Linked DNA regions of Schizosaccharomyces pombe. The gene in region 2 interacts genetically with the main gene of each other region. Each region holds a gene or a part of one and is shown on either strand. Other genes may lie near its edges. The genes, in order: tls1, cwf15, ada1 and SPOM_SPAC1B3.08.

What was found.
Region 1: mutations in cwf15 (region 2) and tls1 together harm fitness more than expected from each alone (negative genetic interaction), as found in Schizosaccharomyces pombe (one large-scale study listed by BioGRID).
Region 3: mutations in cwf15 (region 2) and ada1 together harm fitness more than expected from each alone (negative genetic interaction), as found in Schizosaccharomyces pombe (one large-scale study listed by BioGRID).
Region 4: mutations in cwf15 (region 2) and SPOM_SPAC1B3.08 together harm fitness more than expected from each alone (negative genetic interaction), as found in Schizosaccharomyces pombe (one large-scale study listed by BioGRID).

What each region holds. Positions count from the first base shown.
Region 1 is NC_003424.3:635,333-643,210, reverse strand, and holds tls1 (splicing factor Tls1), read right to left. Parts: upstream 3,820-7,878; 5' UTR 3,801-3,819; coding exon 3,036-3,800; 3' UTR 2,813-3,035; coding exon of another isoform or gene 2,264-2,812; 3' UTR 2,215-2,263; coding exon of another isoform or gene 2,027-2,214; 3' UTR 1,931-2,026; downstream 1-1,930. Other genes in the region: autophagy associated protein Aut12, read left to right, coding at 1-993, 1,080-1,326; grh1 (GRASP family protein), read left to right, coding at 1,584-1,763, 1,810-1,930, 2,027-2,214, 2,264-2,812; peptidase Oct1, read left to right, coding at 3,900-6,188; CwfJ family splicing factor mug161, read right to left, coding at 6,252-6,826, 6,897-6,977, 7,035-7,862.
Region 2 is NC_003423.3:1,036,763-1,043,599, forward strand, and holds cwf15 (protein Cwf15), read right to left. Parts: upstream 5,268-6,837; 5' UTR 5,212-5,267; coding exon 5,197-5,211; exon of another isoform or gene 5,138-5,196; coding exon 4,355-5,137; 3' UTR 4,226-4,354; downstream 1-4,225. Other genes in the region: rhn1 (RNA polymerase II transcription termination factor), read left to right, coding at 1-102; serine/threonine protein kinase Ppk27, read left to right, coding at 315-1,020, 1,088-1,623; chaperonin-containing T-complex theta subunit Cct8, read right to left, coding at 1,785-3,140, 3,427-3,548, 3,601-3,640, 3,694-3,816; ecm14 (carboxypeptidase), read right to left, coding at 5,533-5,631, 5,672-5,919, 5,961-6,089, 6,139-6,244, 6,286-6,837. UniProt on the Schizosaccharomyces pombe protein: Involved in pre-mRNA splicing.
Region 3 is NC_003423.3:376,179-385,323, reverse strand, and holds ada1 (adenosine deaminase Ada1), read right to left. Parts: upstream 5,025-9,145; 5' UTR 4,935-5,024; coding exon 4,764-4,934; exon of another isoform or gene 4,701-4,763; coding exon 2,376-4,700; 3' UTR 2,024-2,375; downstream 1-2,023. Other genes in the region: chaperonin-containing T-complex delta subunit Cct4, read right to left, coding at 1-1,003; tim11 (F0-ATPase subunit E), read left to right, coding at 1,364-1,384, 1,450-1,621, 1,712-1,797; SPOM_SPBC106.03 (steroid dehydrogenase), read right to left, coding at 5,624-6,697; srx1 (sulfiredoxin), read left to right, coding at 8,488-8,862. UniProt on the Schizosaccharomyces pombe protein: AMP deaminase plays a critical role in energy metabolism.
Region 4 is NC_003424.3:4,939,088-4,946,929, forward strand, and holds SPOM_SPAC1B3.08 (hypothetical protein), read left to right. Parts: upstream 1-3,456; 5' UTR 3,457-3,588; coding exon 3,589-4,860; 3' UTR 4,861-5,140; downstream 5,141-7,842. Other genes in the region: ESCRT I complex subunit Vps28, read right to left, coding at 1,603-2,349; Cytochrome c oxidase assembly factor Coa3, read left to right, coding at 3,139-3,348; noc202 (Noc2-Noc3 complex subunit), read right to left, coding at 5,141-6,727; protein Hrd302, read right to left, coding at 7,003-7,842.

The DNA.
Region 1 (7,878 bases), on a different chromosome or scaffold from region 2:
ACTTTCGTTGATATCTTTTGATTTGGCAAAACAAAAGCGCACATATTTGATATTCTCTTCATCAGGGAAGCCCGTGTTTAGTAACATTGTTGATGATTCAATTGAGCCATCAACCGTTGGCGCGTTACAAGCAATTATTAGCTCTTTCGAAGTGTCGAAAGAAGAGCTAACAAGCTTTTCTACCTTTTCCAATGTTATCGTTGTTCTCTCCAAAAATCCTCTTTATCTTGTTGGCGTATCGCCATCGACAACTTTAAGCGCAGCATATTTACTCAGTGAGTTAAACCTCTTATATTGCCAAATACTTACTGGGGTTACTGCGAAAGCTATGCAGCTGACCTTAAACTCCCGCCCAAATTTTGATTTGAGAAGACTTATTGGAAGCAACGAGCAGTTCCTAAAAGAACTATGTGATCAACTTAATGATTATGAATTAGTCCCCACATTGAATGCCATATCTCCTCTTCCTTTACGTTCCTCTTTTCGTGATCAGCTGTCGCAACTGCTGTTGAGAGAAACACCCAAATCTCTGCTGTTTACTTTTATAGCTATACGAGGTCGGCTTGTTTGTATGGTTAAGGCGAAGAAGCTTTTATTACATGCTAATGATCTCTATTTACTTTTCCTATCACTCTTCCGCACACAGTCTTTTAATGATTCAATGGAGCATTGGGTGCCTGTTTGTTTTCCTACTCTAAATCCAGATGCTTATATTTACATTTATAGCTATTTCCTATGTAAGGACACTGTCTTGATAATGGGGAGCAGCGAAAGTGGTGTCTTTTTTGAAATGCAATCAGTGAAATGCAAAGTTGCTCAGGAAATTCAGGATCATGGATGGTTGAAAAAGCTCATTTATTGTGAAGAAATGGATAGAACTACGCCAAGGAATCCCGGATCTCCTTGTATTTCACATTACTTGTTTTATTCAAAGAAATACTCACAGTTTTATACTCCTGGCTATTCATTTTCAACTCCCAATTTCAATACTAGGTACGTATACAATGATCTATTTTTCTTTACAATTTCAATACGATCGCTATCTTTGGGCTCATTTGCTTTGCTAACTATGTTTTTAGAACTCTTTATGCTATTTATGCTAGCTTACACGACCAGGCATTTCACAAAAAAAATTCTTTCTCAATTAATATGACTGTCCATGAATCTTTGCTTCTATTCACGTGGTCAACTGCATCGTTCGACTTTCATTGTATTGCTAACGCTACCACTAGCAGTCAACTGCTTATTGCAAATGTTAATAAGATTTTGAGATGGATACGAAGGGAGGAGAATCGATTATTTATACAAACAAACCTTTCGTTTTGATAATGAGCATGTAAAGTTTAATGAAATTCATTTCTTTTTATTTTTTATGATGTTTTGACAGTAAAATATTTAAAAGAGCGGTGATTGCTTCCAACAGCTTTATTAATTTTTCTTTTTCCTTTTTTTGTTTTAATTTATTAATATCAGCATCATTTTACTCACATAAATTTCCGACTGTATGAACTTAATATCATAGCGAGTCAACCGCGCCATTACCTAAATCACCACCAACCCTATTTAAGTACTAAACAATCGAAATGTTTGGTGGTTTAAAGAACTTTATTAAAGAAAAATCAGAAGCTTTAGCTGGTATTCATCGAGAATCAGATGAATCATGTGGTTTCAGAGTATTAAAGGTTGAAAACGATTCGAAAGCCTATAATGCCAGAATTGAGTCTTATTACGATTTTATAACGGCAGTGAATGGGATCTTACTGGTATGAACTGATTATAGTTTTATCATTACTAAAGTGTTTTTCACAGAATGGAGACCCTTCAATGTTTATGGCTTTGCTTCGTGATTCTTCCCCCGAAGTAACTTTAGAAGTATTTTCTTTAAAAGGGCAAATTACGAGGAAAGTTAATATTAAAATTAACAGTGACGGTAAGTTTCTAGCTGCGGTTAACGATTCTTATATCTTTTTTGGATGTATTTTTATGAACGCTTATTGAATACAAATAAATTTTCTAACGACTACAGAAAAAATTGGCATGGTTTTACAGTGGGCATCAATCGCTCCTGCCGTGGATGCCATTTGGCATATTTTGAATGTTATAGACGATTCTCCTGTTGCACGAGCTAGCCTTGTTCCGTATGAAGATTATATCGTCGGAACTCCTGAAGGAATGATGACAGGAGAAAAAGCGCTTTCAGACCTAATTGAGTCTGTATGTAAATTATGTGCTAAGATAAATTATTTGACTAACAATTTAACAGCATCTCAACAGACCCTTACGCCTGTATATCTACAATCATTATCGCGACTCCACTCGTCAAGTTACCATTGTCCCAAATCGTCATTGGGGAGGTAATGGAGCTATTGGATGTGGTGTTGGACATGGCGTCTTGCATCGCTTACCCGCTCCTTTGTCAGGACCTCCTCCACAACCTGGGGACATTGTGTTTTCAAATCCCATGCTGGGGGGTCCAGATCATAAAGTGTCTCAGCCCAGTGAAACTGAAAACTTTTTGCCTACTCCAGAACCACCTAAAATCGCTTCTGCTAATGCTGGATCTAGCAATGAAATATCTATCCCGCACTATCAAAGACATAAGAAGTCTCATAAAGGCGCTATCCAAGATTCTTCTATTCAATCATATTTAGATGAAGAAGAAAAACTAAGCAGAGAATTGGATCATAAAACCAAAGACGCTTCTTCTACTAACGATTCCCAAACAACTCCTTTGCCTCCTCCTCCTCCTGTCGCTGTTAATTCAACAAACGATGAATCAGCGCCTCAAAATGAAGAACTTGTGAAAAATTAGTTATTTAGTTAAGCTCGTCTTTTCTAGCAAAAGCCCTCTTTTTAATGCCCATAATGATTAAAAGTTACAAAACTATATTTTTGATAAATAAACATTTGAGGTTTTGAGTAAGGATTTTATAAAACACAAACAAACCTCTTTATCCGAATTGATTACTCAAAAAATGTAATAAATAATTTGAATTAATGAACCTTGCCAAACTGTTGCTTCTTTTTTATTATCGTTAATCCTGAGTTCCATCCTTGTAAACGCGAAAACGCCTGTAGATTCCCTTACTTTCTTCATCTTGGGATATCGGTTTTAACATTTTTTCAATAAATTCATCCCGAGCAGCGTCCTCAGAGGTGCGAAGAGCCTTCGAGTCTAGTTTTTCTTTCATTCTTGCTCTTTTTTTTTGTCGTTTCCGACCATTTTTCAAATTATCAACGTCGGTACTAATAATCCCTAAATCTACTTCACGTATAGCACCAAGAGCAGCTGCATCTCTAATAAATGAATGTTCATTTGGATGTAAGGAATTTTTTATGTTTTGTACCGTCGATTCATTTTTTGTATTAAGTGCATTAGTCTCTCCATTTTCTGAGTAGTTTTGGGCCAACCTTTCCTGTTTCAGTTTTTTTTCAACAAAGTTTAATAAATGCGTGTTGATGTCAACCTCGTTTGTTTGTTTAGCAAACCTATCTTCGACGGTTGGAAGTTGCGCCTCTATAAGTTTCGACGATTGAGCTGAGGTCTGATCATTAGCTTCATGAGGCTCATTAGCAGTGTTCAATTGTTTCTCTTTTTTTGTTTCTTGATTTAATAACTTTTCAGCATTTATCCCGATAATCGAATTTCTAATTTTTCGCCTCTTAGTAGCTTCCAAAGCTTGCCGTAGACGAATATCATTATCATCTAATTCTTCTAAATCAAATTCTTTTTCATTTCCAAAAACTTTTCTTCTTCTGAACGATCGATTGCTTTTCTTTTTTATATGTATACTATTCATGCGGATACTTTTTGTGGTTGGTATTTCAAGTAAACCCTCCTGGAAATATATACCATTCATATAGCCTGTACATGTACCAAAAATTTGTCGCATATTACGATGCAAGTAAGAACTTTGCTTACATTGGGAAAAAAAAAAGTAATTGGAAATAGGCAGTGCATTCTTAGTCTTTATCGAAAATATTCTAATGTTCAAAGTCGCAAAGCGGAAGACCAATTGTTGCGTCAAATTTTTGATGATCAGAATATAGCTGTGAACCAGATAACGAAAAGAAATGGAATTCAGGGAGTAGGATTGTTTCGTAATCACTTCCTTTCCGACAAAGATACCGGCTTCCTAAGGCTCGCGGAAACTGCATCTGAAAAATGTAAGGCCGTGATTGAGGATCTTTTGCTCGAGGATACTGAAGACGGGTCAATTGTAGTCAGCAAATTTGACAGGATTTCTAACTTACTATGCAGTGTCATTGACCTTTTTGAGTTTGTGCGCTGCGCCCATCCTGACAAGATGGTGGTAATGAAAGCAGAAGAAGCTTACAGTTATCTATTTGAGCTGATGAACACTTTAAACACTCATCAAGGTCTTTACGAAAAATTAAAGTGTTCTTTACAACAGACTCCTACGTTGAAAGATACAGATCCTGAAGCATATACTGTTGGAAGAGTATTCCTCCAAGATTTTGAAAAATCGGGCGTAAATTTAGAGAGCTCGAAAAGAAACTCCTTTGTTAAAAAGTCCTCTGAATCTGCAACTCTTGGAAGAGCATTTTTTAATAATAGCATGAATCGTCCTCAGCGTTATTTAACTATTTCTAAGCAACGTCTGGCTGGTTCGGACCCATATTTTGTACGCTCACTCTCTAAGAATGACAAAAACTTTATTATGATTCCAACTGTTGGATACGAAGGTACACAGGCCTTGATTAGTGTAGCAAATCCCGACGTCAGGAAAGAAATTTACATGGAAGGTCATAAAGGAACAGTTGAAGAAGTCGAATTGCTAAATTCCTATTTGAGGTCTAAAGCGGAAGTTGCGAAACTAGTGGGAAAAAGTAGTTTTGCAGATTTACAACTTATAGATAAAATGGCTAATGCTCCTAAACATGTTGTTGAATTTTTAGAGAACTTATCATTAAAAAATTCTTCCGTGTTAAAAAAGATTTTAAACAATCTCGCGTTAATGAAGAAAAAAGAGTTAAACTTGAATTTTCTTCCATCATTTGATGTTTGGGACAGGGAATATTATACTGCTCGCTATAAACAATCTCTTATAAATCAAAAGCCTTCTTTAAACCCTTCTATAACGAATTATCGGCGTTTTTTTTCTGTTGGTACAGTTATTCAAGGTCTATCTAGACTATTTAGTTCTTTATATGGGCTTCGTTTTGTTCCAGCGGACATTTCCCCTGGTGAGGTATGGCATCCTGATGTAAATAAGGTCAATGTTTACAATGAAAATGATCATGTAATGGGTGTAATTTATTTCGATCTATTTGCTCGAACAGGAAAAACAGATGGAGCTGCTCATTTTACAATTCGTTCTTCTCGGGAATTAGACTTGACAAGCTTTGACGATTCTATAAGTCTTGGATTTGATGATGCTACTAATATAAGGGTCAAGGATAACAAACGGTATCAAATACCTGTCATTTCGTTATTGTGTAATTTCGTACGTTCTAGTGGAATGGATCCTACCTTTTTAGATTTGTGGGATGTGAAAACACTTTTTCACGAGATGGGGCATGCCATGCATTCCATTCTAGGTCATACTAAATATCAGAACTTAGCCGGAACTCGTTGTGCAACCGACTTTGTTGAACTTCCTTCAATTATTATGGAGTTTTTTATGTCAAATCCAGCCGTATTACCGCTTTATGCTCGCTACGAAGGAACTGAGATTCCATTACCTGTACAAGTTTTGAACCATCATAACATGGTTGAAAATAGTTCAGCACCCTTAGATTTACAATCTCAAATTTGTATGGCTATGGTGGATCAATTGTTTCACTCGAAGGTTGTCTTAGATCCGTCATTTAATTCTATCGATGAAGTTACTAATGTAACCAGAAAGTTCAGTGGGTTTGAGTCTGCTCCACCTGCTGCTTGGTATCTTCAGTTTAGTCATCTTTATGGATATAGCGCTACTTATTATTCATACATTTTTGATACGGTATTGGCTTCGCTAATCTTTAGTAAACTTTTTGCTGGAAATCCATTAAGCCGTGAGGCTGGTGAGAAATTTCGTAAAGCCATCCTACGATGGGGTGGCAGTAGAAGCCCATGGGAATGTGTTGCAGAAGCCCTTGAACAACCTATATTAGCAACGGGCGGCGAAGAGGCCATGCGTCGAATAGGAAGTGAAGGTATTAAAGCGACGTCCACCTTTTAATGGAATGATGTTCCAGTTATGAATTTAAATAATTTATTTATGAATTATAATGAAATACTAAATTTATGTAAAGTCGTAAGGTTTGAAACACATTTTGAAAGCTTCACTCTCAGCTTTTTCTTCATCTTCTGTCTGAACGCATTTTCTCCAATCAACCCTATCCTCAAGACCCAAAATTTTTGCAGCAGCACGTCGCCCAAACTGTAAATCAAATCGTTCTCTTAGTTGTAATCGATGAATTAAGATTTTTCCAGAGGGTAGAAATACACGGAAATAGTTCAGCTCATGAGGTTCTACATCCCTTTCCTCAAAGTCGTAACCAGCTTCCTTTGCCATTTCAAGGAAGACTGATTCAATACGATGTGAGGAAATCTTGGGGATGGGAATCATTTGCCAATGCAAATGAACTCCGTTAGCTCTACTAATTTCATATACTAAAGCATCGGAATCACAAGCATTGTACATATCAGTTACAGCTTTACGAAATCGATTCATTTCATTTAAAGTTTTCTCATATGAGGTGTCCGACAAAGTACTTAAAGCAGAAGCATGCGCAATTGGTATAATCAAAACATGACCAGAGGAAGCTAAAGCTGGGGTATTCGATGCCGTGGTAGTAAGAGGGCCTTTGGGCAACGCTGAGTCGTTAGTATAAAAAAGAGTAAAATTTAAACAGCGTGTCGCAAACATTGGAGTGTATAAACGTACCCATGTAAGCTTCGTTACCAATAGCGACTATTAAGTGAAGTGCAACATTTGGATTACTCAAACAAAAGAAGCATGACCCGGCTGAGAAAAGAAGTTAGTGACGGTGGAAAAAACGCAGAGATAAGAAGCGGAACTCACGTCCAACTTTAGACCGTCTATTATTGAGCGAAGTGCCTGATTCGGACTTGTGCAAATTATTGAGTGCACTATGTGACTCTGACTTGTGCATTTTGTTGAGGGACGAGCTAGAATCTTTTTTAGATTTAAAGAGAGCAGTGCTTGATTTAGATTTATGGAATTTATTTGTTTGCTGGGGAATAATTTGATCTTCTGAAGCACGCTTTAAGGGAATTGGCCTATGCTCAAATGGAGAAGCAGTACAGTTAGGAGGAGCTGGCTGCATGTACTCAGTTGTCAAGGGGTAGAGAGTAAAAGCGTATGAAAACTTCTCATTTTTGGAGTTTTTGAAAGGGGCCAAAGCCACGAAATGAGTGACAGTACCAGTGTTAACATTAATAGCGGCAGAGTTTTTGTAGGGTTCACGTTCGTAGTAAACTGGCCCAGGAACAAAAAAGTACTGCGGCATACAATTAGCAGCTAGTGCAGCTAACGGCATACAACCTTTAGGCAACTTTCTCTCAGGGAGAGTAGAGTTTTCTTGTACGTCCTCCGGCCATTCAGAGCTGAACAAAATGTCACAACGTTTAGACAACTTTTGTACATCACTTCGATGAAAACACTTTTCATTTAAGCTTTGCTCAAATTTTTCGGGAGGTTGGTAGTATTTCTCCTCATTATAAGATCCACCAAGTTGAGCAATTGTAAACTTGTAAAAAGTTTTCATAAACCCACAAATACCCATACAAAACAAGTTAGGTGCTACCTCTGGTCCATACATGGCCATATGCGAAATAATGGACTCTGGCAAACCAGCAGTACCAACCCCGAAATAGACTGGTATAGGAACTACAGCTCAGGTTAG
Region 2 (6,837 bases):
GAGGAATCTAAAGAATTACCAGAAGACTCAGATATCTATGGAAAAGATAGTTCTCCCTCTTCGGACGACTCTAGTGCAGCTGGTCTATATGGTGATAGCTGAAATCCATGAAATGTAATGCTTAGTTTTCATTATTTTTCTTTTTTTTTTTAAACTGTCAATCAATGTGGCAGTCTTAGTCAATAAGCATTTTTAGAATACCTATCCTAACCTTTTATATGCGTCAGTACCTGACTTCATCCTATCGAAGCCGTTTTTGGAATTTTGTATATTTCGAAGAAAGTTGAGCCCTATCTAGGAAGAATGGGCTTTTAATGTCTGAAAAAAAACATTCTTGCGAAGAAAAATCGCTGCAACTATATCCTCTTTCAAATAAAATTCGTCATGTAAATCCGAATATTTCAGCTCTTCCGTCTGAGACTGATATATCTGAATCATTGACGAACGATTTAACTAAACTAGAAATTTCTAACTATGCTCCATTTAATAGAGATTTAGAGACTTTTTCCGATTTAATTTTTGGCTTAACTAATATACAAAAAAAATCATTGTATTCTCTTCAATTAGGCAGAAGTAGAGGATATGCTTTATATTCAGACGAGAATGAGAAATATTTGTGGTCTATAAATACTAAAATCACCTCTACGGAACAAAGGGAAGTACTGCTTGTCAAATCTAATAATAAGAAGTTTGATACTTCCATCGTCCTAAAACATACTCACTTATCATCCAAGTCTCAAAACGAAAAAAAAGCTAGAGTAAAAGTATTTCGGCAAGAAATTTGGGCCCTCAAAACTTTGTCGCATCCATGTGTTGTGCAGCTATTAAATTACTACGTTTCCTCCGCCGAATTAATACTCGTAGAGAATTATTGTATGGGAGGAGATCTCTATCATTACACTAAAAAACATCATTCGGATTTCAGCCTTGAATTTGTTGGGCGAATTTTTTCTGAGTTAGTACATACAGTTGCTTACCTTCATTCCAAATGTTTGATTCATAGAGATTTAAAACTTGAAAGTAAGCTCGATGAATAAGGATTTTCAACTTTTACAGTTATGATTTTAAACTAACACTTTGTCTTTAGATATATTGCTTACCCAACCTTATAATGTTATAAAGACGATTGATAATTGGAAGAACTACCCAAATGCTTTAATTCAGATTTCTGACTTTGAGCTTTCTATTTTTGTTGACAGTAAAAATCATTTAGTGCAATCCAGCTGCGGCAGCCAAGAATATGCACCACCGGAAGTTTATATGGGTATTGCACATGATGGATTTCGCGCGGACGCTTGGTCTCTCGGAATAGTTTTATTTGCACTATTAGAGGGTCGTCTTCCCTTTGACTCCTACCCAACTTTGGATCCTGAGAATGTAAGGATCAAACGTTATGTTCAAAGGCTTGTAAGATGTGATTATACATGGCACTTATGCAAATCGCCATTCAAAAGATCTACTGGAAATACTAATGATAACGACGATCCTTCATGGCGGTTCCGCTTATTTGTGAAAAAACTTCTCAAAAATAGAGACCAGCGCAGCACACCGACTGAATTGTTAAAAGATTTTAATAAACATGGCAACTTTACTTTACCGTTATTAGAGAACGTTACGATTTAGAGACCTTTAATGATAAATGTCTTACTTCAATGGATTATGTCTGTACCTAATTATTTTGATAACGCGCTTTTAATTTCAATAGAAAATTAGTAGCAGATTTTTACAAAAACTATTCATCGTTTTAATCCAATCCTAGTAGAAAAATGAAACTCACTTAAATTTTAATCATCATCCCAATGAGGGTTGGGGCCAGGTGGTTTTGGACCTCCAGCTGGTTTAGACATAACAACTTGATCAACGTTTAAAACAGTGAGTACAGTTTCAGTTGCTAATCTAATTGCTGATTTTTTTGCTAATAAAACATCAAATATACCAGCTTCTTTCGCATCTAATGTTCCATCATTTTCACATTCAACATCAACTCCAATTGATTCACCGTTTTCCTTATGATGGGCAGCATAAAGTTTGCTAATAACATCAGTAGGATCTAATCCAGCGTTTTCTGAAATAGTCCTAGGAACAACCTCAAATGCTTCTCCATACTGTTTGATTGCATGTTGATATATACCAGGAGTTTTTTCACCAACTGAAATTAGACGAATACAGAGTTGCATATCACTAGCTCCAGCACCAAAGATTAAACGGTTATCTTTGACCAAAGCTTTTACGATATTTACACCATCATCAATCGCTCTTTCCAAATCATCCAAGTATGTCTTAGTAGCCCCTCGAAGCACGATTGTTGCAGTACGTGTAATATCCTCAACTTGACGGAATACAGTGACACGATCACCACCAATCTCAATCGTCTCAACAACATCGACGGATCCCATCTCTTCAGGCATGGGAACACCCATACGAGCCAACGGGGTAGCGCCAACCACCCGACATAAGCGACGTAATTCAAATTTGCTTGGCACACGAATAACAAGGATTTCAAATCTATTCAAATAATGTAAAACTAAGTCATTGACATTGCCACTAGTGACAACTACCCTAACACCAGCATCGTAAATTTCTTTAATGTGAGACTCAATAAGGTTCTCCTCTCCTTTAGAAAAGTCAAGCATTTCTTGAGCATTATGCAACAATACTGTGCCTTTTGTTTCGGTTTGAGAAATATCCAAAGGGCATGAAAAAACAGCAACTTTAGCTTCTTTTGAACGTGTAACGGTGCCCTCTGGCTCTCTAGGAAATACCATGCCCTTTACAACCTGAGAGTTATAAAGGCTACTTCCCATAATTTTAACCACACGGATATTGTCAACGTTAAACTTGGATGGATCTTTGGGAAGAACTGTGAGGATCGCTTTAGCAACTAAATCCGAAAGGAAATCTTCATTTCCATATTGCTTAGAAGATATACAAGTTCGAATTGCTTTAATAAGCTCCTTCTCACTTTCAACAGTCTCAATTTTATCAGCACAAATTTCCTCCAAAACCTCCATAGTGTGTGATAAAGCCATTTCGTATCCTTTAGCAATTTCCAAGGGAGTGAGACCCATGCGAATCATGTTTTCAGCCTTGGCTAAAAGTTCACCTGTAAATACAACCACAAAATTTGCAGCATCACCAAGCTAATGGTTAGTAAACAGAAAATGGTTTTAAGAGCAAATCAATGTACAAATATTTGAAGTATAAATAAACAAAGTAAGCGTCAATACGATAGAGTTATATAAAACATGAAAACGTTGATAAAAGGGTAATCAAAGTGCTTTCTAAAATGCCCTTTTGTAAGGCACATGAGTGGATCAAAAGGTAAAGGAAGCTTAAAATAAAGTCCGCAAAGAAAAAAAATCCGCTTATTTAATGTTCAAACAAGTGTATCTCAAAAAAAATTGTACAGTTAATGAATTAACTTACCTCATTCTCCTGTTGTTGGGTAGCATCGACAACTAGTTTAGCAGCAGGATGAATAACCTCCAATTCACGTATAATGGTCGCAGCATCATTCGTCAAAAACGTCTGTTGCAGATGATTGACAACTATGTGTGTGTTAGAGAATAAGAAATGAAATAACTGTTTGAGTCAACATACCAATTTTATTTTTTCCATTTGGACCCAAAGAGGTACGGGTCTAAAAGTATCAGTAAATGAATGAAACTTGCTTAATAAATTATAGGTCCTTACGATTTCTGAAAGTTCACGAATAGCATTACAATTACGGATTACTGCATCCTCTACGCCCTGCATAATCCGATATCCTTCGCGAAACAGTTGAGGCCCAGAGGCCTTTGGAACTCGCAAAGCCATTTTGTTTACGAAAGCCTTTATGTCTTGGTAAAAGTCAAGTGGTGATTAGCCAGTACAGTAGTAAAACTATATTTCGGTATTGAGCAACCATCCTTGCATTATGTTAAATAAATTAGTGATTTCAAAAGTAAAAGCAAACGACTTCAAAAGTATATATATAGTATTTCTCAAATGTTTCCTTCGTACAAAAAGTTATAGTAGTTGTCTTTTTTAAAAATGATAAAATATTTACATTAAATTATAGTAAACTTTTCAGTAACCCCTTCCGTTAACGCAGATTTGGTGAGAGAATAAATAAGATATGCATCACTCAAATAAAGGCTTTGCAATTATAAATTTTGTAAACTTAATATACCAACAATTGTAACTACTAAACTCAGTACAGCCAGTATTAAAACAAAAAAAGAAGCAAGTTATCAATTAAACATTATCATCTCATTTATAAGTAACATTCTTAAAAATTGCCTTGTATGATAGCAGTAGAATGAAGAAATTTTGTTTTGTGGAAAGAAAAGAAGACAGCAAACCCACAGGTGATTTAATCAACAAATCTTGCCAAGAACTTCTTGTGAAACTCGCTTCTCAACATATCATTAACAAATCCAGGCCGAGGTGTGTCATCAACCCCTTTATGTGTATTCCTAAAAACAACGTCTTCGTCCCATCGACGCTTAACTTGAAAAGACCCTGAAGAAGCTTTATTCAAAAGCTCATTTCCAAAAGCTATTTCCCGTTCCCTTTTTTCTTGCTCCAGTGCTCTGTTTTTCTCTTCCTGAAGCATTTGCTCTCGTTTTCTTTCTTGTTTTATATTTTCCAACTCTCGAAGTAGCTGTTGTGTCTCATCTTCTGAATCGGACTCTTCGTCCGAACTTTCTGAATTTGATGAGTCAACGGATTCTTGAGAATTTGATTCTGTTTTTCTTCTTTTAATTGATACCTCAGAATTTTTATTTGAACTATCCACACTGTCGTCGCTATCGCTAGCATCCTCGTCCGCCTCCAAAGTCTGCCGTAACAGCTCTTGATAATCAACCTCAACATCGTTATTGGGTTTATCGTCCGTTGAAGGGGAAGTGAAACCTTCTATGAGTTTTGAATTCTGGCTTACTTCTTCAGAAGAGGCACCATGTTCTTGAGTTGCAAAATGTGCAGCCTCTGCACGTAACAATGCCTCTCGTAAATCCTGTTTTCTGACCTCTTCCTCAGTTCCTTGAGATTCTTGTCTATATTTTAGTTTTAAATGAGCTGGTAATGCGCGACTAGACGTTATCCTAGTAGGGGCCATTTCTGAATGCCCCCTAGCTGGATCAAATTGGGGTCTCTAAACATGAGTTAGTTTTAAATTATAAAATAGAGGATATATATGTAAATTGAGCATACATGTGCAGTCGTCATATTGAAAAAATATGCAATTCACAACTGTTATTATTGAGACTATGTTGGTGGAGTGCAAATACGATTACACCAAAAAATCTTAATATTTACTCTTGCAAAGTAATCATGATTCACTACTTTAGTAAGTATTCACTCTTAAATTCTTATAACGTTCTAAAAAACGTTAATTGATAGAACTGGATTTATTGTTAAGACAGGTAAATAACGCATCAATTGAACCACCTGGAAGGAAGGTATTTATTTTCATAAATTAATAATTACTATAATTAAATTTGGCAAAATTGCCAACAGATAAGCGAATAATTATTGATCTTTCTTGGACTAAAATGCATACTCAGCGATAAACTCTCCATAGTAAAGAATCATCGCAAAAAATTCCTTAGCTGTGGGGACAATCTGTTTAGCAGGTAATAAATATCCCTTGTTTAATTAGTAAAAAATTTTAGAGATATCAACTTACATAATCACCCATGTCTCGTAATCGAATATTGAAAGGCCATGCTACATCAGCAGCAAAATAAACCCAGTCAATGGCAGTTCCAGGTAGGTAATGTTTATGAAATCCATCATACGGTATACATGCTTGTTGATATGTGTAGTATCTACTATTTACGCGATGCAACTCTTTAACTAAGCCAATTGCTAATTCCTCAAAATTCTCAGTATCAGGAGGAAACAAGTCGCAGGTATATGCATAAGGCCACAAAACTAACTTAATTAGTAAATGAAAATAGACTGTCGAAACATACCAGATTGTGAATACGAATGCACATCAAGAAATCCAACGACCTTTTTCTGCTCTTGCGACAAGGATTCAGTTATCAGATTGAACAAGGCCATAGTTTCGTTAGCCTGAAAAGGTGATAATCCTCCATATTCTTGAGTTTGTTAGTTGTAATAAGTCATCAAAAAAAATAGTTCGCTTACCGTTGCTGCAAGGATCAATATTACCGTTGAAGCCAAATGCCCAATTCGCATCGAGATTTATGCCAAAACACTCGGAATTATTAAGAGGCTGTCTGTTTTTTGACCACTGACAAATAATTAGTATATGCTTCATTACAAACCACTTACCAGTCTATCGTTTGACCATGTATATTCATAACCATCAACGTTTAAAACTGGAATAAAAATCCATTCAAATTTATCCAAAAGCTTTCGGACATGACCATCGGAATCATATTTTGCCAACAATTGCCATGCGGCATAGCAAACAGATGGAATACCTATCCACTCACGAGCATGAGATCCTCCTTGAATAATAATCACTTTCTTGTTACGAATCTTTTCCCCGTTGTCGGAAGGATGTCGACCGTTCAATTTTAGGCCTAAAATCGTTCGACCTTCCGCTGTAATTCCAACTGGAACTAGTTCACTTAAATCTTTGTAAAGGGACGCCATCAACCTCAACCAGGAATTAATCGATTCTAAATTCTGATATGACTTGAAAAAAATATCCGTAAAGGAAGTAAACATTTCGTGATTTAAATGACCATTTTCAACGGCTTGAAGGAAAGCTTCTGTGGAAAAAGGGGAATTCGTAGTATCTGGAACAATGCTTTCAAATAAGGTCTCTGTCAGATTGTTTATAAGTATGTCACTACGATATTGACTCTTCCAAAAATC
Region 3 (9,145 bases), 660 kb from region 2:
CAATAGGTTTGCATCCAGTAGATTTACAAATGAATTCCACCTCATCACGCTCAATGTCTTTAATTACCATAATTTTGAGTTTGGCCAAAAAGTGTAAAGCAAGATCATTAACAGCATCCCGGAGAATTGACTTTTGTATGAGAATAACATTGGCACCTGCCTTTTTTATTTTTTTGCACATATTCAAAAGATACTGACGTTCTTCCTTAAGAATCTTATCCATCTGTCTGTAATCATTGACTACTACTTGATTTTCCATATCGGGTTTGGGAGGAGATAATTGAAATTGAATAAGCGCAATGTTAGCCTTTTCAATCCTTGTGGGACCGCCAGCGCTCTTGACTGCCGTTTGTGTCAAAGCCAATCCGGGAATTAACTCGGTATCGTCAATAATACCACCTAATTTTTTAACAATACGAATATCCTTCAGATCCACATTTGTCGCAACACGAGGGTCAATGACCTTTAATACGGCATCTACAGCAATTGGAGCTAAAAGGTTACTGTATTGTGAAACAATTTTGGAATTTAGAGATGTGGTTGCTGCCCTTAAGAGTGATTCACGATCAGACAGCTCAATGGCCAAAGCATTCTCTTTCATGCAATCAACAGTAAAACCTGCTGCTCTTTGAAAAGATTCCGCGATAACTGTTGGGTGAATTCCCTTTTTTAAAAGCTTCTCAGCGCATGCGAGCATGGATCCTGCTAAGATAACTACACTGGTCGTACCATCACCAGCTTCAACGTCTTGTGCGGCACTTAAGTCGACCAGCATCTTCGCAGCGGGATGAAGGACGGACAAGTGCTTCAAAATAGTTGCACCATCATTTGTTAGAATAACTTCACCTTTTCCTGTTTGAATCATTTTGTCCATTCCCTTCGGTCCCAAACTAGTTCGAATCGCATCGGCGACTGAGCGAGCCGCCATAATATTTGAAAGCCGAACCTCTTGAGGCTTTTCTCGGTCTTGAAATGCCACGGGAACCGTTGCTGCTTTCGACATTGTGTTTGGTGAAGGAGAGCAACTCTACTTCGTTTGCTTTACCTTGGGACTTCTTCGTGCACTGTAAACTACTGTACTCGAAGTTTTGTTATTGTATACAATTTAATGTGTCGTAACGTGTTAATGCTATCTTTGTTTTCGAAATGGATCAAGCACTGGTAGCAGCTTCAATACCGCGGAGTAATTAAGAATACGGTAAAGCGTTTGCTGAAATATTTTAAAAAAACCTTTATTAGAATGTTAAACTAATACTAAACGTTGCACTATTCGTGTTAAGTGTTTAGAGTTCGATTGTGCTCGGATGCAAAATGAACTTGAACACTCCCCACTCTTTTACAAAAGTGATATAACGCTCTAAAAATGAATTCCATAAACGTAAAGGTATCCTCTAATGAATTAGTTTCACGAAATATCCATGTGTATTTTTAACCATCTCTAACGAATAGACATTACGCTGGTCAGCCCTCGTCCTTGGCTTAGGTGCTGGAATGTACGAGCATAGGAGTCATATTCAATGTCAAAAGCAGAAGGAGATTGATGAGAACTATCACCGACAAGAATCCTTGATTGAATCTGCCAAAATTGCATATCTCAATACTAAAAACACTCCTCCTAAAGGTTAGTTTCTTTGCATCTCAACGAGTTTAACGAACTTTGGCGGGTGCAATAGTACTCATTTTTTTTTCGCTTTACTAATACTCAATTTAGAAGACTCTATGTTGCCTAATTTGAAGAAAGATTCAGAAGATTTCGATATGGATGAATTTGTCAAAGAACTTGAAAAAAATGTTTAAATTCATCCTCTTGAACCACGAATGGGTAACCCTTATCACACTACAAATCGATATACTAAACTAGTTTGTTTATTTTTGTGTGCACTTTTGGTGCGATTAGTATTTGCTGATTGTCCGCGTCAACTGATTAATCAATTTAACGTTTTGCTTAAGTTATTACTAAATTCGAATTGTAACATGGTAACTTATCTTACTTTACTCACTTTATTATAATGAAGATGATCCACATGATTTGTTTTTTTGAGAATTAATTCTCTATAAGTATTCCATTAAATAGACTTGTAAGCTTTTTTCATACCATTTTAGTTCACATGGATATCATTATCTATTTAAATATGTATAGTAAACATTCATTCCAAAAAAAAAAAAAGACAGGAAAGAAAAGGAGGTAATATATATGTTATATATATTTTTATGGGTTATTTAACATAACAAGAACAAATATCGTTCTAAAACAGAATGCACAATTATCAAAGGTATCAAAGGTATATTGCCTTCCCCAAATGTTTCAATACATCAAAGTTGCATGAAAAAAAAAGCAAAAGTAAAATAAACGAAAGCGGTTCATAATAGAAACCTTAATCTTTCAAATCTTGGCTACTGCTAGCCATGCTATCCTTACGTCGACGACGCTCTGAAATCACACTTAGTCCAGGGAAAAAGGCACCATGGTCATGACCATCATGAAGAGACAATCTACTGCTTATTGTAGCGTCGTTCGTACGAGGAGAAGCCGACAAAGGGTCGCTAGTACCAGTCATAGCATCATATTTATGGATCAATTCCTCCAAATCATGGTTTGAAGGGTGCTTGGATGGTTGGACATGCTTGTTCACTAACGCAATTTCTTGTGTCAAAGTCAAAGCACGATAAGCCAGGCGAATTATAGGTACATTAGTACGATCAATATCCTGAAAATCAACACCCAACCAACGTTCTTTAAGCTGACGTTCGAAACCGGATTGTAAAACACTGTTTCTAGCCAATTCGCACATATCGACAGCAGAGAGCTTATAAATTTGTGCGGCTACAGCATATTCCTCAATCAGAGGCTCTCGGGTAAATGCAAATTGTAAAGGATCATCAGTGGAAAGACTAACATTAAGACCTCGTTTGAAGTACGTCAAAAATGGATTCTTATCATATGCAAGAAACAGTGCATTGTTTGATAATGGAGACATTGCGATAGGGATCTGATCAAGGTACCAAAGATACTGAAGAAAAGGAACTTTTCGTAATAAAATACCATGGTTAATACCGTGACTTAATAAGAAAGCACTGGCCAAATGATCCGTATCTCCAGCTTCACCACAATGAGGACGAAGGACAAAGGTGTTAAAACCACGTATTTTTCTCCAGCTATTCAAGCTAGTCATGTTGGCATACATGTAATATAACCAATAACTATATGGAGGATTTAAATTAATATCCCAATGTTTCGGATAAGGGAATTTGCGAAAGGTACGGCGTTCAGGTTTACTTTCGTCGTCAACAGAGTCAAACCCGATAACACGTTGCAAAAACACGTGGAGTTTAGGATGTGTACGAGGATCCTTTGTAACTTCGAACAGTGGTTCAAAGACATTTCTGACGACCTCTTCAAAAGTCTCAACAATACCGGACTTCTTATACACATCATACAAACGAGGTACTTGAATAAGCCAACGAACGTTGGGAGAAAAAAGTTCGTTATCAATAATCCAGGCTGCAAGCTTATCCCATTCTTCACGATTCCGTCCATAGATAGAAATACGATATTCAGCCATTTGGTACTTTTGAGTTCTAAGGTCGGTGAACACCTCTTTGGTAAGTTCAGCAAGATATCGACCGTTAATATCATTATCGGTTTTCAGGAAAATAGTACGCAAACGAGATTCACCAATTGGATTATATTTCAAGTTAAATTTGTCAAATCGGTGAAAGGTGTCAGTATGAGCATGCATATCCAACGTGTCTATACTAAGGTCATACGAAGTCAACTTCAACGAATCAAATACTTCTTGTAAAGTCAGGAATTTGCCATCACGCCAGATAACTTTTTCATTAGGGCATTTACGAAGTTTAGCTTTGATAAATCGCAAGAGATGTTTTTGATTCGCAAGAGCAGAATGATGGACGTGAGTATCTACCTTACGTACATTGTAAAAATCACGATGGGGTACTTTTTTGGTATCTGCCAGCTCTTGATACTCGTTTAGCAGCATATACATATTCCAGCGTCCTTCTAGATACTGCAATCTACGGAAGGAAAATGATTTACTAGGACCATCCGATGAAGCCGAAAGAAGGAATTCTAAATCTATATAATAATCGCGGATAGTAGGAATATGAAAAGACGGTGTCCCCGCAATGTATGCGCTGTCATTCTCATAAACTTGAAATATACCTTGATGATCCATGTGATATTCCATTTCATTTTCAATTCCAGGAATTTTGCAATCAGCAAAATTAAACAAGCCCGTATCATCTTCACCTTCTTTGCAATCAGGGTATATAATCCATGAATCATCGTCAATGGGATTGTCAAGCTCACCCTGTAAGCTCACCCTAATATATTTGTGTCGCATGTCCATACATTTATGGATTGACAAATAAATTTCTGCCAATTCATCAGAGAAAAGAGGGTCAGTCGTTTCCATGTTTCCTGGATCGGTTTCAGGGCCACCAACACTAGAAACTACAGCATTGTCTCCCTGCTGCACATGGGGCATATGAATGCTACTTATTTTGCTTTGAAGCGTATCATTCAAAAGCTTTCCACTTCCAGGACCAGCTTTACTATGGTTTACATCATCACTATTCCTTACTGTGCTAGCCGAGACTGATGGTCGTCTTGGGCTTTTAGAGGGCAGTCCATCCCGACCGTTTTGTGTTCCATTCATAGCCAGAAATTTAGCATCTTGCTAGGTTATGGTTAGTTAAACACGTAATATATCGAATTGGGGGGTTTTCACTTAAATACTTACATGTCTTAAAGAGCGCTCATAAGCATAATCAAAATAAGGAGTGTCTTGAGACGAAGGCGCTGCTGCAACTTCTTCGTCTCGATTAGCACCAGGATTCGTTACATATCGTTTTAAAGGAACAGTTTCAGCTGCAACAGCTGGGACTTGATCATCTTCTTGTTCCATGTTCATTTCAGCTCTAAAAATTAGAATAAAAAAGAATCCCAAAAATTGGCCTCTTCAAGAAGAATGCGACGAAAACAACACCTTTTTGAGAGGAGCGCGTGCACTTGCGGGTGAAGAGCCGTTTATATACGGAAGTAAACCACATAGTGAGAGAGGACGTACAGACATTATGTTGTTTAACGAAATAGAGCGATGATTTATTGAGGCAAACAAAATTAAGGGCAATTGAAATGTTTAGAATTCTGGCCAAACTGAATTTGTTTAAATCGAATGATTTTTAATATTTTCATTCAATAAATTAAAGAGAAAATTGACACTCATTTTACGAGTAACTTTTGTTTTTACGGTTTCAGTAGCGATCAATATACATCCTATCTTTTGTATCACTTGCACATTTAAGTAGACAATACAATTTGAAATCGAAATTGTAGCAATAGTACGAACGGTAAAATAACCTATAAACCATTTTACTTAAGTTCGCTCTGAGGAAAAGAGCTTAACAGTTACTAGATTTCGCTTTACACCTCGAGCGTAAAAAAAATAGAAACAAAAATAATTGAAAAAACTCAAGCAAAAGATATGGATATCAATGACATCTTTTCATAGCATCATTATCATTATACCAAACCATGATAGACATGGGATGAGTTCAATTTGACAAGGAAACAGAGAGAACTGAGGCTCCATACAAGTATTTAGCTGCGCTTAATAAGACTGCAGGAAAAGAAGTGAAATTTTCCAAACAAGGAGAAAATCCCATCAATAACACACGTAGGAAGGAACCGTGATACTGTGACCATGAAAAAGGTGCGACAACCAACATGGCGAGTTGGAGAGGGCCAGCAACCAAGCAAGGAGTCAAAAATTTTGTTTAGAACCTTACGTTCCGTACACAACGAAGGAGGATAATTGCTTTTACCTGGAGAGCTAGAATGATCGTAATTCAAAAAGCTGAGATTTCCAAGTTTGATACAAATAACCTGTAAGCCCGTTTCACGCTTGAGAGTGCGCAAGAAAGTTTCAATGGAAGAAGAAAGAATAGATGGAACAGCATAATTGGGAGGCTCATAAGCGGATAATATACCATGAGACAAGCCAATGATTCTGGCCTTTTGACTTTTCAAAAGAGGAATCATTCGAGAAACGTTAGAGAAAGATTCACTGAGTTGTTGAAAAGCACTGATCCAAGCATCTTTTCCAATGTTCTCAATTGGAGTGTACAAAGAATCTCCTGTGGGAACGAGAATAAGACCACGTAGGCGCAAAGCATACTCCTTAGGGCCAGATTGATTGGAAAAAGACAAAAGGAAGCGTTCAACAGCCTCATTATGAGTAACAATCAAAGATTGAATGTAAGGGCGTTGTTGGAGAGAAACAGTAGCTGCTTCAGATGCATCGCGAACAAGAACAACGACGATAAAACCACGACGATCCAAATCGTGAGCAATTACTGAGGCGAGAGGGTTCCACGCAGATAAGACAACAACTTGGGTTTTTTGGTGGTTGGGTGCACGTGGAGCACGACGCTTGCGTACATAATCATAGCGTTTGTAATAGGATAATCCAGCAAGGAACAAAGCGGCCGATCCTAAGCCAACTGATACTCTATTTTGATAAAGAAATTCTCCCAATCTTCCCTTGGCACTGTTTGTAGTATGAACTGTAACAGGTTGAGGGTTACTAGTTTTTTCATGAGCATAGTCAATGATTCGCTTGCCGTAATCCTTAACATTAGAGACTAAATCGGCAGCCCAGCGTTCAGGATTCATTTTTTAATGTTATTCTACCTTTTTGATATGATAATTCGTTTTCGTAGCAATTGGATTAGATTTCCAGGCAAAAAAACACTTCAATTTTCTCCCTGATATAATGTTTGAAGAAGGAAACAATGCAGGATGAAATTGAAAAATATTTAGCAATTTCAACAATAAATACTATCACTTGAGGAATTCACAAGTAATACTTCAAAAAGCTAAAGAATTCTAAAACTTGGAATTAATGAAGTGGTGAGTGGTGGTTGAGAACAGGTCGCGAATATTGGAAAACACCATGATGTCGTGCTAACTTGATCCTAAATCGCAATTCTATTTTATGGCAGTAAAGATGATTCAAATCGAATGCAAGTTTTAATATTGAAAGTTTATCGAAGTTAATCTCACATCAGGCTAATAGGAAGCTATGTTGCTAAAAACATATTGTAAGTAAATGATAGTATCTGTTCATAAAAGGTTTGATGTTTTGCGGGAATTGAGCGATGGCATTATAAAAAAATGAGGATTAATGGCTTTAGAGATTGACTAATGGGAAGGATAAAGGATACCAAGGATATGAGAGAACGGATGGATGATTAGTATTTATTATGAAATTCGCGTTTTCATTGTAGATGAGAAGTCCGATTGAAGTATTGACCTTACTTCTCTAAAGCATGTACATATGAAAGGATCATTGTGATCTGTTTGCTCAAAAAACTTTAAGAATTGTATTAAAACCTTGCTACTCTTTAAAAGTTTTTATGTGTACCATAGTTCTTGTAATTGTCTCAACAATTGTAAAAAAAAGAACAGCCTTTCATTTGTCGCTCAGTCCTTCTTTAAATTGAAATGTTATTCCTTACATTACCTAACATTTTTAAAGTGTTAAAATAATCTAATATTCAATTTGCTACATTGCCTTCAAATCTTATGATATAAAACGTTGGCCAAGAATCAATTTGGCCTCAGCAAATATAGCAGCCGAACTTATACAAACAAAATAATATACTATGGTTTCTTAATCCTGACTTAAGGATGGATTTTCTTAAAATTTAAGGATTTCAGATGCAATCTTTAAAATTCCACTTTTGTTGACGACTAACGGTTCAAGCCTACATTCTACCAATGAATTTCTTCTTAACCAAAATTTGCACTCTTCAACTAGCTAATGCTTCTTTCACCATTCGAAAACAATACTCATATTGTTTTAATGATCTTGTGTCGGTTATCTCTGTCACATTTTAGAAAGCGTTTTCAGAAAGTGAACCTTTTGTTTACACATTTTTGAATGTACTCGTGCATTTACAGTTCTCCGTCGACTCCAAGTTATTTATACCTAAGTATTTGTGCTTGAAATTCTATTTAGGTAGCATCATTCTACACTTTGACATCTTTGCAATAGTGTTTTATTGCCATCTACATTTAATGAATAAGCTACTCCAACTACCTTACTAAGAACACAAACCCAGACCTCGTAACGTAACCACGTTGCTTTGTCCTAGTCGGTTTAACGTGTTTCGCTAACATGCTGACAAATTTTTACATAAGATTTTAAGTATCGATTCATCTTTGATAATGATGTCATATTTGTAAATTATTATATACATACCGGGATAAGATAGGTTGTGGGGCAGATCATTAGTACAACAGGAAACGATATCAGATCAAGGAGTAAATATACTCGATATCAATATCCACTTTTCCATTCTTATTAACTTGCCTTTTTTTATAATTTTCTGTTCTATTTATAAAAATTTCTGTTCACTTTATCTTTTTTATATTCTTTCTTTCATTCATTTTTAACCATCATGACTTCGATTCACACTGGCTCAAATAACAACATTGTTGAGCTTGATATGTCTGAGTTAATTCGTCCTATACCTCCTGTTTTAGATATGAACAAAGTCAATAGTATGATGGAAACCATGACAGGGAAAACTCCTCCAGCTTCATGCGGTTTGACTTCAGAAGATTTGGAAGCTGGTGAGCTTCCTCCTGTTGATGTTTTAACGTTTAAAAAGAGTGGGAAGCCTTATTATTTTGCCTTTGGGGGCTGTCATCGACTACGTGCTCACGATGAAGCAGGGCGCAAAAAGGTTCGCTGCAAATTGGTAAATTGCTCCCCTAACACTCTACGCCTGTATCTGGGTGCTTCTGCCAATAAATTTTTGGATAGTGATTAGATTTAACTTAGATTTTTTCACAAGTTTTTTTAGGATTATCGATATTCCATTGAACCTGTTTTATTCCCTTCCTGCACCAACATTTATGGCGTTAATAATCATCTCTACCGGCGGTACATTATTTTTAAAGGTTTTTGTTTTACATTAGTTATGGGGTTTTTTTTTAATGTCTAATATAACCCAATTATATTAAAAAAGTTTCTTATAAAAAAGCATCATTCATTTGGTTGCTTTACCTAAAAAAAACAAACACAAAAAGGTATTATATCGTAAACAAACAACT
Region 4 (7,842 bases), on a different chromosome or scaffold from region 2:
AGTATGTTTTCACGCATTAAATGCTTTTAGAGCCATGCAAGGCTGTGTCATTATCCTTTTTTATAGCATTGCGCATGAATCTTACCTAAATCATGTTCCACTATTCATTTAAAAACTACGCTGCAGAATTGCTTAAAATATCAAACACTGCATATAGTAATAATTATAAGCACTACCTATTTATAACAATAAATATTACAAGGAACTTGATGCTTACCAAATTCTCGAAACATTTTTAATGCCAAAAAAAAAATTAAAATTAAAACATTCTAACTCTATTTTCAATCATACAATCTAAGCATCTTAAGACTATGCTATCATTATAAGTCCATCGTCAATCGCCTCTGATCTTCTGTTGTGAATTGCGAAGTGAAGATTGAGCATTACCACAACACACTCTGCAAACACATTGTGCAACCGATATATGAAAGTCAACTTATTAATTAGAAACATTCAAGAGTAGTTATTATAACCTACAGAATTTTTAACGTATTAAAAACAATTTACAGTTACAAAATGCTCGTGATATACAATGTCAGCAATACTACACTACGCTATGATATACTACGTTGCGTATCACTATAGATCATATGTTGGAATACTAGCTAAGATCCGTTTATTGATAATCACGGGTAACTATCCGTCTATATACATAAATACCCGTTGATAACAACTATTTAGAAATATTATAAATAGAGTTACAACTGAACCTTGTTCCTCAGTTCAGTTATGAGCTATCTCGGTGACCGATACTAACAGACTTCTTATAACAATAAATATACATTGTTAGTTAACATACCGCATACCGCTACATTGTAGATCGCAAGTAAAACTCACCACAGTTCTATTTATCGTTAAAACAGATATCAAACTGCGTAGCTAACATACAAACCTAAATAGCATTATATACTGTCTCGAGATAGTTCATCGTAAAAGTAGATTACGGACTACGTAGGAAATAATTTATTTCTAATTGTAAACATGCCAAGTCAGTGCACTGTATATTCAGGTTTCAGCTAAGCGATATAGTTTAATACTTTCTCCAAACTTTCAAGTTTTAACTTATTTCTTTTCTATTAATTTATCTAGAATAACATTCAATTTTTTCAAGTCGGGTGATGTTTTGAAATGAATTTGTACATCACTTGGTACAGTGCTTAAGCAATTGAAATTCTGTAATTGTGTCAGTAAAAAGGGCCAAAATTAAGCTCTCTTTGTATTCTTGCCAAATTAAAAGCTACAAATTACTTGAATCTCAAAGCAGGATGATCTACATAGAAAGAGACTGAAGCATCCCTTGTTTTCACCTATTCAATTTGAATGAGAGCTAATGACCCATCAGCTAGTTTACTGTCTATCGGATACTTAAAGGATAAACAGTGCATGAATTCAAATATCTCTGAAATAATAGACTTTAATTAATTAATTTAATAAATCATTCCTTCCTGAGCTATTTTACAAGGTTTAAGAAACGCTCTTAACATTCCATAGGGCAGAAAATAAGCGGCTTCAAGTGTGTATTCTATAAATTAAACCAAATCATTAGTTGGGTATTCCGTGTCATCGCTAGAAGAGTTAACATTAGCAATACGAATTTTAAAATCATAACAAGCTATAGCACTCTGCGTAGGCTTGTTCCAAATCATATAGCAGTTCTCTCTTTTCCACGTCATTCAACTGGTCAGTGATATTCATATTATTGATTTTTATCAACCATTGAACCAACTTGTTTCGACACGAAACTTGTATTTTTAGGCTCTCCGTTAAATCATCCATGCTTACAATCAATTCCGACAACAAAGGATGTAGCTGGTCTTTGGCAATAAAGTTAAGTCTAATGGCATCTAGAGTAGTAATGAAATTTTGTACCAAACCGGCAATTGATTTCGCAATGGAAGCAGATGGGTTGGATGGAGCCTTTGTTGGATTAACAGTTTGTGGAGTAGTATCATTCATAGCAATTGAAGGTTCTGCAGTTGTAGATATTGCATTGGAAAAGGTGGAATTGGACTGAGATCTTTCGTCCGATATCCCCTCTTGAATTCTCTTGATTGCTCTTGGGCATTGCAGTCGATACTTTGAACAGAAGTCTTCAAATGAGCCAAAAGCCTGAGTAACTCTTTCGTCACTAAAGCAAGACTCCCATTGTTGTATCAAAAGTTCACAGGTAGAATTGAAATCAGAAGTAGACACGGCGTCTTTCGTAAAAGCTTTCTCCAATTGCTCTAATGCCACCAAAATACTGTAAAGAATACTTAAATCTTCACGTACCTGTTGATTTTTAGTATGAAAATTGTTTTCTTCTGAAGTTTCCTTTTCTAAAAGGTTCAGATCGTAGTATTCAGTCATAGCATTAATAAACTGAAGAAACAGATGTCTAATTGTCCTTCAATCTTTCAAAGTTATAAACTAGCTTCGAATATATAATTAATTAATTACAATTGGGAAAAAATCAATTATAAATCAATGTAATGAATGACTTATTACATTGGAATAAATTGAGAGCTAGATGTTTCACACTGTCGCACAGTCGTCCATCGTTCTCATTTTGAAAACACATAATGCATCAAATATTGCACTTCTCTATCCAACAATTAGCCAAGTTAACGTACTGGTGCAAATCGCTATTAAATGTCAGCAATACTACACTACGCTATAATACACTACGTTGAGTATCACTATATGTCACATGTTCTAATTATATATCGTACCATGTATGATACGATATGGAGATTGATCTTAATGATAATCTATTAAGATCAATATTATCTGAATACTATAAATAGAGCTACTGCTGAACCTCGTTCCTCAGTTCAGTTATGAGCTATATTAGTGATAGGTAACATTATAACCCAGTTAATACAATACCTATACTCAGTTGCTACTTATACAACCTGTGTATTGTAATATAATAGATCACAAGGAAAACTCACCGCAGTTCTACGTATCCTTAAATCAGATACCAAACTGCGTAGCTTACATTAAAGTTGTCTCTAAGAATTTCGCAACAATGTGATATTTGTATATCGTTGCTTAACGCAGCCATTGAACAAATGTGATCGCATTGACATAATTATTAGTTTCCCTTTACAAAGCACATTTCAGTACGACTAGGTTGCTTTTCTGAACCATTATATTATGAACCAGGGTAATCAAGCTTTTGAAAATGCAAGAAAACCATTTCGCAGGGCTAATTTGATTACGGCCCTAGGTCTTGGCGCGTTTGCCTTCGCGACCTTTGCATATTCGGTCTACCGAGTTCACGAAGATACTTTTGAAGACGTAGTAATGACTCCTGAATTGGAAAAAAAAATTGCGGAGGATCGAGATCTCTCAAAAAAGAATTGAAAGTGTTCATCTTGATTCACCCATTTTTGGCTTTTGCTAGTACAAGTGACATCGTTACCTCTCGTGGGCAGCGTTCAAGAGCGCGCACACGACGGTGTCGTTGGTATTGAGACAGAGCACACTGGCGAAAACACAAACGGTGCTTGTGGACCCTTTAAAGCCCGATTTTTACATCTTCCCTTTCCCTTCCTTTTTTTTGGTACCGACCTGCTTAAAGGGCGCTTCTGATTTATGACAACTATGAGTGAGAGGCCTTTACCTTTAAACGTTTATTTCTCAACCATTAATTCAGCTGTTGCGCGATCTAATAGTGTCCTACTAGCGAAAAATTTATCAATTCCTTGGGGGAAAACGCTAACCTCAGTGCTGAACTTTGATATTCCTGGAACATATTCGTCTGACGATGTTTTGAAACTTACTGTAGAAAGATCAATTTCAAAAAACTGGACAGACATTGTACTTTTGCATTTACAAGTTTTGCTGTACTTAGTTCGTGACCATGATCCTGCAGCCGCCTTTAAACAACAGACTGAACTCGCACAGCATCTATATCGTGAATTCTCATCCGGCAGATGTACCGGTGTTCATTTACCAGTATTGTTTATAGTATGTAAGGATCTACGATTTTTGGCTATCAATGCACATAATGCAATGCTTCGCCGCAAACAGCAGTTGAAAGTAATTTCGGTTGATGAGTCGGAAGAAAATGAACAACTTGAAGCAACCGCTAGGCTGATTAATCGTGCATTTACCATCTGTATCAATGATCGAGCTCCTCTGTCGACGTCACGTAAATGGGGAGCTTATTATATTATGGGTTTGTTGTTTAAACTTTACTTAAGACTAGATTGTGTGCATTTGACCAACAATGTTCTGCGTGCCATGAAAGTTGTGGAACTTCCTGACATTTCCCTTTTCCCTAAGTCTCACGTCGTAATTTTTCATTATTACCTTGGAATTGTTGCCTTTTTAAACCAAAATTACAAAAATGCCTCAGCTGAGCTAGAGATTGCCTTTTCCTTATGTCACAAAGGTTACAATCGCAACTTGGAATTAATTCTTTCGTATTGGATTCCAACTCGCATTTTAGTAAATCATCAGCTACCCACAAAAAATTTACTCTCTAAATTTCCCAATCTGGCTTCTGTCTATATTCCTTTGACTAGAGCACTAAAATCCGGTAATTTAGGTGAATTTGGAAAATGTTTGCAAAAAAACGAAACCTTGCTTGCAAAAACCAAAATTTACCTCACCCTAGAGGGCACAAGAGATTTGTGTATTCGAAATCTTTTTCGTAAGACTTGGATCATCTGTGGGAAATCTACTCGTTTACCTGTTTCTGTATTTCAGATAGCCCTTCAAGTTGCCGGTACTGATTTACCCAAACTGCATGTAGAAGCTATTTTGGCCAATATGATTAGCAAAGGATACATGAGAGGATATATATCTCGTAACTTCGAAACTGTGGTTTTGTCCGCCAAGGATCCGTTTCCCAAAAATGTCTCTACCTAGTTATGTCCATTATGAAAAATACGTTAAGATTTGTCGATGCGGCAAAAAATTTAAAACTACAGCGTTTACGCTATTTTTAAACTCTATTACTAATCTTATGAATGATTAGAACGTTTATTAATTTAATTAATTCGTCCGTTTTTGATCTCTATAGTAAGTTAACTGAAAATCATGTAGATATACAATGCTTATTTATATCCTTAATCTCCACCAGACAAAAGTGTTTACTTTTTTCGTTTGTACAATAAAAATTTTTTTAAAGTCAATTTAAAGAACCTTCTTAGGTAGTATCACTGACTAGTTTACCCATTGGAGTAGACCTCCAATCCAAGTCCTTCTCGAAAGCTTCTACTTGAGATGTGTCATTGAGAGTAAAATCTACGTTCATCCTTCTGCTTTCAACAAAAGAAAAAGTGCTTTCAAGTTTGTTCAAGAATGTTAAAACATGCTTCCCCGGTGCGGATTCATTTACCAGTCCACGAAGTTGTGCGATTATGGGAGCAGAGAGCTCTGGAAAGGCAATTGAATTGGAAAATATGGCAAAATATTCAGTCATTAGCAAAATGACTTCTTTTCTGACATTGTTACGATAAGATTTTGACAACAAACATTCTTTAGGCACATGAAGAGTAGAATACATGTCAAAGTTATACATTACTTCCTTATCATCAGACAAAGGACTCGATCTCCTAAGAACAAATGGGATCATTTCTAAAAACTGAGAAGACAGGGGGATGTAAAGGCGGGTAGATCTGCAAATATTAACAAGTGACTTTAAAAGATGGAGACGTAATGGGTAATATTGCTCCGTAGGAATTAAACGAATGCAATCCAGCGTCAGGTTTATGGCGATTGGAGAAATTTCTTTGGAGATTGATTCATAATCATTCCATAAAAATGATATAACATGTAACCAAAATCTCAGCGAAAGCGTAAATTGCCAATTGTATATTAATTTGTATGCATCACTGCTTTCAGACTCCTTCAAGCAGCGCTTCAAATGAGCATCCAATTGGGAGAGATAAGCGAAGGCAATTTTTTGATAAAACCGTGAGTTAAGAGAAAGAAGTTCAATCAAGAACAGTTGAAGCTCTTCAAGGGTATCGAAATCGTTAACTTCACTGGGAGAAGACTTAAAAAAGTCCAACAAAGGCGAGTAAAATACTTGAAAAACTGCCACACTCAACGACGAATCAATTTTGCAAATATGATTAACTGCTTTTTGAATATCTTCCCGAGCTTTAGAATGATTAACAAAAATATTACATAGCTGTGTAACCAGACCATTGGGAAATTTAGAAAATTTTTTTATGTGAAGTATAGTATCAAGGGCCGAAGACAAATTTTGATATCCCTTTTTCTCAAAATTAAATTTTGTTAATAAAATCTCGGCATACTCTAAACGAAGGTCCTGAAGAATCTTTGACCTAGCGTCAAAATCCACGTTGTCCAAAGTCTCCTTTAAGTCCTTTTCAACATTTTTCCACAACGCATCTGCTTGATTGGTCCCCGATAATTTCTGACAATATGCAATAGCAGCAAGTAAATCCTTTTCACTCCGTCTTTTTTGAGTAGAAACTTGATTTAAAGAAGCGCCCTTGGAGTTTACATTAAGAACCGAAATATCTTCTGATCCGTCTTTCTCATGCGATGTATTAGAGGTCGTTACATCTGAATATAGTTTAGAAAGATCTTCTTTGTTTTTATTGTTATCATTTGTTCCACTTTCCAGTTTATTTTTTGTATGTGAATTTCGATTTTTTGTGCCGTAAACTTTTTTTGAACGAGCTAACTGCTTTCTCCGCTCGATAGTATTTTTTAGGTGGTTTTTAGTAAACTTTTTTGTAGCCTTGGAAGCTTTACCCATTTCCCCGAGAAAACAAAAACACCAGTTCAATTGCAGATGAACGTAGTAGTAAATTCACTTCGCTGTAAATGTGTGAGAAATTCAGGTTGAGTAACACGGGTAACAGTGCAAGGATTTCTCAAAAATTAGCAGCTTTTATGGTATTTGAAAAGTGAATTGGAATATTTTGACTGTAGGATTAAAAATATGTGCTCCTTCAAGCAGCTGATCATGCATATAACGATAGCTATATTGGCACTTGTGAAGCATATTCATGCGATTTAGATAAAAAATACTTACCGTAAACGAAGTAGTTTCAGTAATTTAATATAAAGTTGGTGAATATTGATCCAAAAAATGGCAACTTTTAAAGGGAAGTAAGAGTTTTGGTTAGAAGATAGCTCATCCAGCAATCGTCTAGCAATATAAATATCTTGATCTCGTCCTATTCCGTATTCGTGCATATATGCCATGTTCCAAAGGCCCATACCGATTGAGCTTTGCTCATAAGCAATTTTGTAACATGTATATGCTTTAGAGTAGTCTTTAGGGGTGCCAATTCCATAGTAGTAATAATCACCCAGTTTAAAAATGGCATCAATATCACCCTGAGCGGCAGCACGAGAGTAAAACTCATACGCAAATTTATCATGAGCAGCCTCCTGCTCAGATTGGGTATAGTTAAAGTAGCGGAATACTGAGTTAATTAGAAACTTATTCTCATCCATCAAATATGCTGCATTAATTTCAGCTAGGGCATATCCCATTTGAGCGGCATATAAGTAATAGACGAAAGAATTATGAAAATATCCATATTCGTCTATTTCTTCTAAAGCTATAGCCATCGAGGTTGCAGAAGCTCGTATTGCTTCCACAAACTTTTTATAGTATAAAGAGGCACTTATCATTGATCGACTAGTTCCAGTTCCATTATAATAACAATCAGCTAAATATTTGTAAGAGATGACACTTTTTTGAGTAGCAGCTCTTAAAAAGAGGTGATACGCCTCTTCATAACGCGCTTCTTCAAGACGAATGAGGCCAAGAAACATAAGTGCATGGGGATTTTCATTCATTACAGCTAAATTTATTAGTCTCATTCCTTTTTCTCGATCAACGCCGTTGGAAGTTAAACC